Caenorhabditis elegans: one gene and its partner. The protein of the gene in region 1 purifies or fractionates together with the protein of each later gene. This does not show direct contact. Each region holds a gene or a part of one and is shown on either strand. Other genes may lie near its edges.

What was found. The genes of interacting proteins can lie anywhere in the genome.
Region 2: the proteins of tmem-131 (region 1) and bpnt-1 fractionate together in Caenorhabditis elegans (co-fractionation; one large-scale study listed by BioGRID). This does not show direct contact.

What each region holds. Positions count from the first base shown.
Region 1 is NC_003281.10:4,995,463-5,002,079, forward strand, and holds the start of tmem-131 (Transmembrane protein 131 homolog), read right to left. Parts: upstream 2,700-6,617; 5' UTR 2,672-2,699; coding exon 2,576-2,671; intron 2,532-2,575; coding exon 2,242-2,531; intron 2,071-2,241; coding exon 1,950-2,070; intron 1,904-1,949; coding exon 1,658-1,903; intron 1,386-1,657; coding exon 603-1,385; intron 514-602; coding exon 268-513; intron 219-267; coding exon 1-218. Other genes in the region: Guanine nucleotide exchange protein smcr-8, read left to right, coding at 3,921-4,080, 4,126-4,440, 4,489-4,635, 4,678-4,790, 4,837-5,228, 5,276-5,362, 5,401-5,463, 5,573-5,831; R144.10 (Coiled-coil domain-containing protein 25), read right to left, coding at 6,009-6,323, 6,375-6,422, 6,466-6,534, 6,580-6,617. UniProt on the Caenorhabditis elegans protein: Collagen binding transmembrane protein involved in collagen secretion, probably by recruiting the ER-to-Golgi transport complex TRAPPIII. Required for normal development.
Region 2 is NC_003280.10:4,417,289-4,423,905, forward strand, and holds bpnt-1 (3'(2'),5'-bisphosphate nucleotidase 1), read left to right. Parts: upstream 1-2,967; 5' UTR 2,968-3,019; coding exon 3,020-3,100; intron 3,101-3,234; coding exon 3,235-3,387; intron 3,388-3,449; coding exon 3,450-3,774; intron 3,775-4,523; coding exon 4,524-4,924; 3' UTR 4,925-5,031; downstream 5,032-6,617. Other genes in the region: sod-5 (Superoxide dismutase [Cu-Zn]), read left to right, coding at 397-438, 550-633, 1,222-1,380, 1,429-1,582, 1,628-1,725; dcaf-13 (DDB1- and CUL4-associated factor 13), read right to left, coding at 5,338-5,476, 5,700-5,954, 6,561-6,617.

The DNA of each region.
Region 1 (6,617 bases):
TCCGATGGAACTTTCAGCTCCAAATCAAAGATTTTTCCTTTCATTGGTGGAATATCAACATCGGTGGCTTCAACGTATTCAAGACGTTCATCATTTCGAACATCAGAAAAGTTTCCGATCGACTTGACACCAACTTCGTAGAGTCGGTAAGCCGAACGATGTGGTACAGCAAGATTTTTGAGACGCATCTCAGCTCGATTGTGATTCCAAACCACGAACTGAAATTATAAATTGAAATGTTATAACTTTATTTTAATTTTTTCTTACTCGAATTGTCCTTGTGTCATTCCTTTCAACAAAACCGAAATCAAATGAATTTTTATCCACAGATATCAACTCAACGTTCATTCTTCCTGTATAGGTTGATAGGCTTAAATTAAAAGTGGAAACATTTGTGTGTAGATAAATTGTAGAGTTATCGAATGTTGGTGGTAGTTTCTTATTGTATTTCAGAACAAAGACTGGTGAAATGTGGCCGGAACGGATGAGGGCAGTGCGATCAATGAGTCGAACCTGAAAGAAGAGAAAATAATAACTAGGATAATTCAGTTTTGAGAATTTGAACTTTAAAAATTTCCCAAAAAAAAATTATGAGAACTTACAGAAAAGTGGGAGACCAATTCTGGAGCCAATGTAATATTGAAAATAGCCACATCGAATGGCAACTGATTTTCAATTCGAATAATTCTTTGATGAGGTGGTCTCAAATCTTCTTGAATCGATAAATCATTTCCAATCGGGAGAAGGTCTCCACGAAATACATCGGCTCGATACGGAATGCTAACATTATAGTTTCCACCTCTAGAAACTGCAATAATGTGCCCACTAATATGTTTCATCTGTTGTTGAGGTGACATTTGTACTCGATTTCCTTCTAGATATACTTTTACAAGATCTGCTTTTGGTCCCAATGTGACGCTTCCCTTTGTTGGTGGATATACTATAATTGGTGGATGTGAAGCAAATTCCATATAAATTGCTGTATGATCTCCTTTCTCTACGTATAGAGTCTCGAATTCCAACCTTCCTCCAATTTGATATTGAACCACAGAAAATACTTTGGCCTCTGATTTCATCCCTTGTCGAATAAGTCCAAAATCCAAAATTTCATCTGTTGCATACACTCCGCGACGTTTCAGAACTTCAATTGGTACGGTTAAATAGATATCCGTATTCGGTTTGCGATGCTCAGAGCTCAAATAAATTTCAGATCCAATTCGAACAAATACTGTCGAATTTTCAGAAGTTGCTCCAACTAGGACCAGCGTAGCGATTTGTTTGGATTGATATGGACGAATATCCCAATATTGTAGTGGTTCTTCAGCCAATTTACTGTCAACTTCATGAGGAAGTTCTATGTGAGCATTTCCTCCAGATGTTCCGATCTATAAATTTTGTTAAATTAAACTAATTTAGAAGTAAATAATTATTAAATTCAATTATATAGGCGAAATAATTGAAGATTTTCGAAAATTGGTCATTTGAAAGTTTTGAAATGTTACAAAAATGAAAATGTATCTATTTTTCTCACAAAAACTAGTATTTTTTCGATTCAAAACTATTTTAAATACAAAATTTTTTTTTTATATTTATTTAAACAACGTCCTTTGAATGTATTTTTATCATCTCCGTGAAATTTTTCATTTAAAAAACAAACCTCGGTAATTCTCATTGTATACGCGTACGGATTGAAAATAACAATTGGCTTTGAAATAGATGAATTCATCGGAAGACGATAACCAGTAAATGGTGATATACGATATGGATTTGAATCACAATTTCCCTGCATTTTGTATGTGAATACTCCAACAGAAGTGTAAAAATGAACAATTGTCGATCGTTTTCCAATTTCTCGTGGTAGGAAGACCACTTCCAATGATGTAACACCATGTGGCTCAAGCTTCTGAAATTATCAAGAAATAATTGATTTTTGAGTAGAGAAAACTCACATATTGCTCAAAATATGAAGCTTGAAATTCAATAGAGTTGACAACAACTGCATCGAGGAATATCTGTTCATTTCTCATATTTCGAATGTAGATTTTGCGTTTCTGCGCGGTACCGACAGAACTGAAAAAAAATGCATACTTGGAAGGTTTTTTAAATTAATCAAAATTTTTGTTATCATACTTAAAATGGCCCCAAAATGTCGAATTTCATAACGAGACATTCCAAAAATTGCATTTTTTCAAAGTCTCGTTATGAAGTTCGATCTTTTGAGTATAATTAAAAATTATTCACTTTTGCCCAAAATCCATCATTGGTGGATCCATCTCCATTGGAAGTTTCCCTTTTCCAGACAATTTCAACACGTTGAATGTTTTCGTCGCATGGTTCTTGTTGGCTTCTTTCGGACAATTTCCTTCACAAACTCCTTTAATTGAATCATAAACTGGCAATTGATGCACATTTTCGGGTCGAATAGGATGATTGAGATAGTGAAGCTCTTCACCGATTTGAACAAATGCGGTATGAAGAACTGGAATCTCGTGAAGCTGGGATGCGGACACTTCTTCTGGAAGAGGCCATGCCTGAAATTGATTTTTTAATGTGAATTTCTGAGGCTAAACCATACCTGCTGATCTGCAAAAGTTGAAGTGATTAAAAGAGAAATTAGGAAGAAATATATCGTCCGATATCTGTTTGAAGTTTTGTGTATTGATGGAACCATTTGAGCATTTGGTAAATTGAGAGTTTCTCTGAAAAAACGAATAAATTTTTTTCTATAGGTTTTCTGAGTAAGATAATTAAAAAGCACAATAAAACGGAAATCAGTTTTTATTGCTTATTTTTTGCTTATTTGCTTATGCAACATGGATGATACGTGGAATTGAACGGCACTAAGAGATTTCTCCAGGGAAATAAAAAAGTGAGAGACAACGGCAAAGGCGACGTCGACTTCAATTGGGAAGGATAACTGGGAGAAGAGATAGTGTTTGATTTGGAGAGACCCAGTATTCGGCATCTTGGGAAGAAGAAGATACAGTCGTCGTGAGACGCAGAACAAATAGGATCGATCGATTTTTGAGGGAAAATAGAGATGTTGAACACGTCATCACACCATTATAAGAGAAAGAAGAACGAAGAAATCTGGTTTGGAAAAGTGAAGAGAGAAAAAAGAAAAAGGGCTTTTTTCGGTGAAAAATGAGTGGAATCAAGTGAATAAAACAAAGACAAAGTGATAACCATCTGTCATCTAGGTCAAGGCAGTCAGGAAAAAAGTCTATAGCTGTCAACCGCAGGCTAGTTTTATTACCTCGGGTATGAATATTAATGAAGCATTAAAATATTGAGCGCTTGGATTTACATAGAATTTAGAAAATCAGAAAACAGTCTTTATTTAGCAGAACAATTGTGGAAATTATGGACACATTTTTTTTGTAATCAGAAAATGATTTTCTTCGGCTATTGTTGTTAACAAACACGCGAAAAATAGAATATTTGACAGAGTATACTATAAATATCAAAAATATGTCTTAAATAATTCCGAATATGCAAATTTCTGCGCGAAAACGTTCAAAACTGACGATTAAAAACCAGAAAAACTACAGAAACAAATTACAGTTATTTCAGCCGTGTGGAGAATCCTCGGCCACGGCCACCAGAACAATATCTCCTGACTGCAGTGACTGGTTTTCCGATGTTTACACTGCTGGAAGTTACTTCATTGTTCTTTTGCAAACAATTTCGCTTGGAAAATATTGATTTAATTTAACTTGAACGTAAATTGACTTTTAAATTGATTAATGAGTAGTTTTATAGAGGGTTTTGGTTACTGTAGCTTTAAAGGCGCATGCTTGAAAAGTTTTAATGAAGGAAACTCTTCCATAATTTGCAAACATTTTCACTTTTGTTTTTTAAGCCGTTTTCTGCTGAATTCGTCTTTTTATTATGAAATTAAAATTGTATTAATTTCAGAAATGATTTCATTCGAGGATTTTCTCCTCCGACCATCCAAAGTCGTCGATCCATTCAACAGATTCGTCGCAAAAATTGATCCATTTCTGACTCTTGTCGAATTTTGCCAAGTTATCGGACCAAAACCACTAGCGGTAGTTTCTCAGCGGCCAGATGATAAAAGTAAATATTTATACACAATTTTCTCGAATAAATGCTAATTTTCAGTCCGCGGAGTTGACATAAACGATATGGCAATCTGGTTGATGTCGTCTGATACTGTTCCGGGTACAATGATTGTGTTGGAAAACAATCAAACGGGTGTATATGCGGCCGCATATTATTTTAATTTGTACGACATGAGAGCAAGAGCTTTTCAAAGAAATTTATGCATCGCCTATTTATGTTCGGAGAAGCCAACAAAAGAAACTTTGAACCTATTCTCATCAGCTATGAAAAAATTAGTTTCACCAGTTTTGATTTGCAATCGACGTCTGTTTATTCGCCATGTCACTGATATTGTCAAGTTTTCGGACAGTGTTGGTAAGTTTTTTTTCTTCGATTTTTTAAACAAATTGTTACCATTTTCAGATGAAACCACCCTGAAACAGTACTATACACTGAATGGAGATTCACAAAAGTTGTCAGACGGAAGCAGATTCAATGTAGTTTTCGAGCAAACCAGGCTTCTAAAAAGCAAATTTTTGACGAAAAGATTTCAAGAAATGGCTTTTGATGGTGAACAAAACGTTGAGACTTTGATTTAGAATTATATTTCAGATGACATTTGCTGTGGTCACAATGCAGAAAACATGAACGAAGCTGAAGATATTATTTGCTCATTCCGAGTTCCATCAATTCCATTGAGTCCTGTGGAAACTCTCACTCCATGTGTAAGATTTTAAAACCTTTGTTGCCTATAAAAATTAAATTATACAGGCGTATTCATCCATAATTCCAAAACTACGCCAACTATGCTCCGAACTATGTTCATCAGGAAGCCCTAATAGAAATTCTACTCATGGAGCTCTTTTCTGTGGACACCGTCCCATCGCAACTACATCACCAGCCGCCACTACAACTTTGCCTTGGAACACTGATTCAGGAAAATCTGATAATGATAAAAACGGAGAAGAAACTCTAAAAGAAGTAACTGGACACCTGGGAGATGTCATATTTCCATTGCTTTGTGGAGAAGATTTGGTAGTTTGTGGAGCAGAACAGAGAAAGAGTACTGTAGAAGATATGCTCGGGAAATTGAGCAGAGTTGTTCCAAGAGAAAGTGCTCGGAATGTAGAAGAAAATATCAAAATCGAAAAGGATCCAAATAGGTAAATAATCAGAAAACATTCAATTCTAAAATTTGGTAATTTTTCAGAATAGGCAATGGATTGGGCGGTCTGCTATGTAATAGAAATGAGACCGGAAAATTGGCAAGATGGAGAAATGTTCTTGATATGAATAGGTAATAAAAATTCAAAAAAAAAAAAATATCGGTTTCAGAAGTGCTCTCAAGACGTTTACCTACGATGGATCATTGCTAGCTGGTCTCAATAAGAAAAGAAAGTGAGTAACATTTATGGACTTATTTCCTTATCTTGTCAAACAATTAAGTGCAAATAAGGGGATAAGTTCAGTTAAGATATACACTCTCCTAACAATAAACGCCTTTCAGGTTCCCATCTGATCGTTCCCTGGTCCTTTTTATAATTGCCTATTTGACAAATATTTGTCAGCTTGCATTCATCTGTCGATATATGTTCATCAAATCTCCGAACTCTATCGAAAAAGCATTGGGAGATCAGCAGAAACTGAGCTCAGACGACGAAAGAATATTGATCAACTTGCTGATGGGAATCGACTTCGAAAAATTCAACCAACTCAAAGTATCATCCAAAGACGGGGCAAAGCCGAGTAGAACCATCAATTTGTGATTTAAAAATTTGAATATTTATGAAACAATAAAAAAAATCAAATTCAGTCTGATACAATACAAGCTGTCATTGAAACAAAACATAATTATAGATGATATGAACAGTAATTAGAAGAAGGAAAATTTTAAAAATAAGGACGACAGAGCATTGATTTACGACAATGCATTCGGAGAACTTTCATCTTTTGATGATATCCTGTTTCATTTGGTTGATTTCAGCCCAAAAGTCTGCCTTGTCACGATTTCTAGCCAATTCAGCCGCCTTCTTGAACTCTTCAAAAGACTGCTTCAGAATGGCGAGCTCTTGACGCAAATTAGTGTTTTCCGCCACGAGATGAGCGATTTCTTTTTCATGTTGTTCTAAAACTCGGTCATCTTCTTCGTCTGGCTCTGTCATTGATCGTTTTGACTTTTTATAATGAGCCTTTGGTTCAGTTGGCCAGTGACAGATGATTTCTGGTTTATCAATGTCCGGGATTCTCACTTTGCACACCTGGAAATGTAATTTTGATTAACGAACGCTTTTGTTAATAAGAAATCTCACCATATATTCTGAATTATTGCATTTCACGTACATGTTCGAAAGAACAAGCTGTAAAATAAAAAATAACACTCGAAAGCTGAATTTATCTTACATCAACACTTCCTGAAATAAAATCCACTTTGTCAGCAACAGTCGGGTGTTTAAGCAGATTTTCGAAGTCCTAAACAGTTTTTAATAATTTTTGCAATGATGTTGGCCAGTTTACCTCTTTGCCGATGACGTGGGTAGTTGGCATCCAAGAAA
Region 2 (6,617 bases), on another chromosome or scaffold:
AAAATTTCAAAAAATTTGAAATATAAAGTTTTGTGTCATATTCATCAAATTCTCAAAATATTTCGAGCGTTTCAAAGAAATGTCTAACCACTTCATAGTTTTTGAAGTTTTTTGGTCAATCAACTTTTAATATCAGAAAGAAGCTTCTAGAAATCCTATCCATTTCTAGTATCCTCATACTAAATATATTACCATCCATGTTTACTTCATCTCTGTCCCCTTTCCCATATGTTGTTTTGTCCTCTAATCTATGATCTCTTCGTTTTGTTTGTTGTTGTTGTTGGTCGTTGAGCTCTTATTGTACTAGAACATTCCTCCCCTTTTTTCCATCAGTTCGCTTCACATTCGCTGTCGTATTGTGAATATTGTGCTAACGAAAATTTTACTAAAAGGAAAATGGATATTCTCTCTGATATTGCCAATGCCGTTCTTCCACAGGTAAATGCGTTTATATTTTGGGACATTTTAAGTGGATGTATCATATAAAAAATTAATATTCGAAAATAAGACAATTATAATATGAAAACTTTAAATTAACTCACTTTACAGGACGTTGTTTCCAAAGTAGAGTCGAAACGTGCTGTAGCGGTTCTCCGTGGAACTGCTGTCTTCGGAACTGTTTGGCTTACCCAGGTGAGAACTGGTTGAAAGATTTTTTTTTGGTATTTTTAAAGATAAAGCATCGCCAATGAGATCAGAGAGTTTTCCCCAAAAATTATATTCTGTAGAAATATGTCAATTTTCGCCTATCATATAAAACGCAAAAATCACACCATTTGAAATGGAAGTACAATTGCGCTCCACTGCCAATTGGTCTCGTTAGGTATTGGCGACAGAACTGTAAAATCAAACTTTTTTATTTATTTTTGCTCCAAACTTTCAGTAGTTGTTCAATTGCATTTTTAATTATTTTCAGGCCAAATTTTTTTTAAAATGAATATTGTAAAAACCTAAAAGCCACGAAAAAACTGCCCAATACCTAACGAGACCCATATTATTATATTATTATATTATTTCGCGTCGGAGCGCGGTTGCACTTCAACTTCAAAAGGCGAGAAATTTTGGAATGGCACTAGGCGAAAACTGACATTTTCCATTAAAATATAAAATTTAAATTTTCTTACAATGTGTTTAATAGGAAATTTCCACACCGGAGTCATTCCACCATTAAAATAAATTGGGAAAAATCAAATCCCTATTTATTACTCTAGACCGTTTCAGAAAGCCGAAGGTGAAGAGACCGAATTCGAAGGAGAGATCAAGGGATTGTCACCAGGACTTCATGGATTCCATATCCATCAATATGGAGACTCAACCGATGGATGTACGTCTGCTGGGCCACACTTCAATCCATGCAAAATGAATCATGGAGGAAGAGATGTAAGTGATTTCACAGGCTATTTGTTATCTCTAAATGACTATTTTCAGTCCGTGGTCCGCCACGTTGGTGACCTTGGAAACGTTGAAGCTGGCGCCGATGGAGTTGCGAAGATCAAGTTCTCCGATAAGGTGGTCAGCCTCTTCGGAGCGAACACTGTTATCGGACGTTCCATGGTTGTCCACGTCGATCGAGATGATCTTGGTAAGCTTTCGACAGAAGGTTCTGATAAATATCAAAACATTTCAGGCCAGGGAATCGACGACAAGGCCGAGGAGTCTTTGAAGACTGGAAACGCTGGCGCTCGCGCTGCTTGTGGAGTCATTGCTCTTGCCGCTCCTGCATAAATCTTATTGACTGGACTCTTTTTTTCTAATTTATAAGATTTTTGACATTTTCCATGAGAAACACAAATCCTACTAATGTACATAGACTTTCGCTGCTTGTAAATAAACGTTTTATTTAGCTTTGAATTTTTTTTTCGGCAGGACCAGCGATTTCATGTTCAGAAATACGTCTTAAACTCAATAATATAAAATTCAAATGCCTGATATTTGAAAATGGAAGAATACTTTTGAAAAGTTCGGCCACGGCCAGGTTGTGTACTCCTCGTGGAGAAGAGTGTTTTTTGTTGCAAAGGATTATACAGTTTTCGCATAAAATACTTGATTTTTCTTTTTTTTTTGGATTTTTTCTCGTATTTTGATTCGAATTTCCTATTTATCACGAGTTTATAAAAGGAAAATTAAATTTTTTTTTGTATAAAACTTTAAAAAACGAGAATTTTTCTATTTTCAACCGTAAATACATCAATTTTCACCAATTCAACTTCGAATAAGAAGTGAATTAACAATTTTAATGTAAATTGCAAAAAAAAATCAGCATAAATGATCAGAAAATGAGAATTCTACCCGAAAACTACAGTATTACTTCTCCACGGGGAGTACACAAGCTGCGTAAATCGACACACGGCCGCGTTAGTCGTTTACGTGTTTTACATTAATTTAAAACGTATTTTTCATGTTTAAATAAACTTTGGAAGCCATTAAAAGCGGAAAATTAACTATTTTTGGCTATCGTAATTTTGTAAAATAAAATATTTAGAAAAAAATAATGTGATTTTCGATCAGTTATCAGTGATAAGCAAAGCAATTATATAACTTCCCACGCTTTTCACTGCATATATATAAATATCAGAAGAGGGATTCCTAATTGTCAGTCTTAACCGGCAAAAGATTTCCTCTAGAGATTTACTCTGCGTCTCCGCGGTGTCTGCACTCTCTCCTCGTCTACCTTCTTTATCTTCCCTTTTTACAGGCCATCTTTTGATCGTTAAATCGATTTTTCTCTTGAGAAAATCCATTTTTAAATCATTTTCACGTGGACGCCATGCTTTTTTAATATAAAATATAAATGTCGTCAGATTACGCACATTCTACGCAATCACCGATCAAATTAAATTTCTCGTTAACGAGAAAATTTTTTACCTCTTCGTTTTTTATCTTTTTTATCTCTCTTTTGCGATCCCCGCGTGTTGAACTCCACGTTGAAAAAATAAAAATCAGATAGAACAAAAAATGACGATTGCAGAGAAAACGAGAAGATCGAAAAACGGATGGAATGATTTCGGCACCAGTTGAAATGTTCAACAAAGCGAGTTTTCTCACGAGACTCGTCGCCTCGTCTGTCCGAGTTTCAGAGGCTGCCGGGGGTCTTATTAAAGTGAGTTTTTTTTAAATTTTAAAATATAGAATCTACTCGAAAAACTGTTAAAAAAGACCTCTCGTCAGGCCGAAAAGCTTAAAAAAATCAATAATTTAAGTTTAAAAATGGAAAAAAATTGTTTCGTCTTTCAGAATGTCATGGCCGGCGGAGATCTCAAAATCATCGATAAATCGGAGCACGGATCCGGCTACGATCCACAAACGGAAGCAGATCGTCGGGCTCAATACTGCATAGTTCAGTCTCTGCAGAAGCATTTCAAGAATATTAATATTATCGGCGAAGAGGTAAAAAATTAGAAGCTCTCAAAAATTAATTTAGAAAAGCATAAAATTTAATTTTTTTTCAGGAAGACACAACTGCTTGCCCGGAAATCGAAATGGGATTCAGTGCGGACGTGCTCCAAATGGAACGCCTGATGAGCACGGAGCTCAAGAATATCCAGGAAAATGATGTTGTAGTCTGGGTGGATCCGTTGGATGGAACATCAGAAGTCGCGTTGGCAGTTAAGAATAAGAATATGGCATTGTTGGAGCAGGTCACTGTGTTGATTGGAATCGCGTATAAGGGACGACCGGTGGCTGGAATTATTCATCAACCATATCATGAGAAGCTTGGAAGGACGGTTTGGGCGATTCAAGGTTGTGGAGTTCATGGAGTTGTTCCGGCTACTGGTAATTATTGATTAAAATTTTAAAAAAATATATTAAAAATGAAAATTTTCGCGAAAAAGTGCGATTTCGTACTCAAAATTACTGCCTGGTCCTGGTCCTAGCAAGAGGAAAATATTCTTCTTTCTGGTCTTGAAACGACCAAGTACTGTAATTCCAAATTTTCAAAAAAATTGATTTTTCATAGTTTTTCGGCAAAATTATATTTATTCATTTAAAAACCTCAAAATTTAACTATAAGAACACATTAAATTTTAACAAATTATACTAAAAACTATGAAAAATTTCGAAAAATTGATACAAAACAGAAGTTTGAACCTACAGTACTCCTTAAAGTCGCATACCTTTTTGCGTTTACAAAAATTTGTAGTTTCGAGACCAGGTACCGTATTTTTTCGCGCAAAACTCGTAAAATGTAGCTTTTAATAATACCGAAAACATTTATCAAATAAAAAAAACCATTTTCCGTATTTGTCACCAAAAATTACCACTTTTCAGCTACAGTACCCAGGTGTTTTAGTTTTTTTTAAAGAAAAAATTACGAAAAACACTGGAATCGCGAGTAAAAAAAATTCCGCTCGAGACCGTAATTTTTGGGAAAAAATCGCAAAAAAAAAACAATTTTCGAATAAAATAAAATTGTGCAAAAAATTTCAAAAATGTTTAATCAATCAGTCATGAACCTTTAAAACTAGAGTACCCCCGATTTTTTCGCTGCTTTTTACAATTTTTCAATAAATTATATTTTCCAGGAAATGCTCAAAAAATCGTGGTGACAACTCGAAGCCATCTCAGCGAATCTGTCTCCAACGCCCTCGAAGCTCTGAAAACTCGAAATTTGGCGGATAGCGTTGAAAAAGTCGGTGGAGCCGGATTCAAGGTGCTCAAAGTTCTGGAAGGGTGTGCAGCGTATGTCTTTGCAAGTGCTGGTTGTAAGAAATGGGACACGTGTGCAGTTGAAGCCGTGTTGACTGCTGCTGGAGGAACTCTTACGGACATTTCGGGCCGTGATATTCGATATGAGCCCGGTGTGCAGCTTAATAATACGGGAGGAGTACTGGCGACGGCTTCATGGGTCAAGCATAAGGATTATATCGATACGATTCCACAAGAAATCAAGAATATGTTGCCGGAGATTTCATCGAAAAAGTGATCTGAAGCATTCCAAATTTAATTTTTTTCCTTTTTAATATCATTTTCTTTCATGTCTAAATATTTTTCTTTCTTTTTTTAGTGTTGTAAATGAAATTATGAATTATCAAATTTTTTTTTAAATTTTCGATTTTACGGAAAATCGATAAAAAAACATAATTATTTTCTTCGAAAAAAAAAATGAAAAAATGGCCGAAAAATCGAGATTTTTTTTTTTGAAATAAAATCGAAAATTTTTCGATTCTTCGGTTAATTTTTTTGTTTTTCGAATTTCTCTAAATAATTTTTTTTTGATTTAGCGGTATTTAAAAACAAGGATTTTTTTTGGGAAAAATAGGAGAACAACCAAAAAAAAAAAGTGTGATAAACTTGAAAACAACAACAAATAACAAAAGAAAAAACGACGCTGCTGCTTCACATTTCGGCATCTCCAACCATAATCTTCTGAGTCTGTGGCAGATATGATTCCTCCTCGTCGAGTCCAGCGGCTTTTGCTCGTCGGAAATCTCGTCGTCCGCGGGCGTCTCTGATAAGCTTGTGCTCCTTGGCGGCTCTGAAAATTGTTTAGTTTTGCTTTGGAATTTCCACAAAATGTTGTTTTTCCAAAACGAACATTAGTGAGAAAATACAGAAAATCACTTGATTTCTCTGAAAATAATATTATTTTCAGCAGCATAAATGCTATTTTCAGAGAAATCAAGTGATTTTCTTCATTTTGGCACTATTTTTCAGTGTAATTGGCCAAAAATTCTGAATTTTTTCTGCAAAAAACCCACGTGAAAATATGTCTTGGCACATTGCGATGCTTTGCGATTCTTCGTACTTCTGGATGGTTCTTATAGGTATCTCGAAGTTTTTCATTATAAGCGAAAGCTTGTTTCTCTCGTTTTGTGAGTGGTCCAAGCTTCTCCGCGGCATTCGCTTTCCAGACACGAATATTCATTTCGTTACTTCCAGATAGAACGAATTTCGAATCAGCAGACCAGAGTACGGAGAGGACTGAGGCCATTCGTTTTGTGTAGTAGACGTCTCTGAAATTGTAGAATTCGAATTAATTCTAATTTTGAAGTTTATATTTTAAAATTTTGGAGTGCTAGATTAGGGGTGGGCGGCAAACGATTTTTCCAGCAAATCACCAAATTGCCGGAATTGACTATTCCGGCAAATCGGCAAACTGGCAAATTGGTGGAATTGCACTTTTTTTTTTGGAAATTCCGGCAAAATCGGCAACTTGCCACAATTCAAAATTTCCGAGAAATCAGAAATCTGGTGAATTTCTGGCAGATCAGAAATCTGGCAAATCGGCAACTTGCCACAAATCAAAATTTCCGGCAAATCAGAAATCCGACGAATTTCCGAAATTGAATATTTCCGGCAAATCGGCAACTTCCCACAAATCAAAATTTCCGGCAAATCGGTAATCCGGCAAATTGGTGGAATTAAGAATTTCAGGCAAATCGGCAATTTGCCGAAAATTAAAATTTCCGAAAAATCAGAAATCTGGTGAATTTCCAAAATTGAATATTTCCGGCAAATCGGCAATTTGCCGAAAATGACAAAAAATTTGCCGAGCGGCACATGCCGCTATCCCTGTTCTAGATTGCCGATCTACAATATTTTCAGCAATTAATATTCACCTGCTAGTCATATCTCTAGCCTTAAACAATCTAATAGATCTATCATATCCAGCAGCC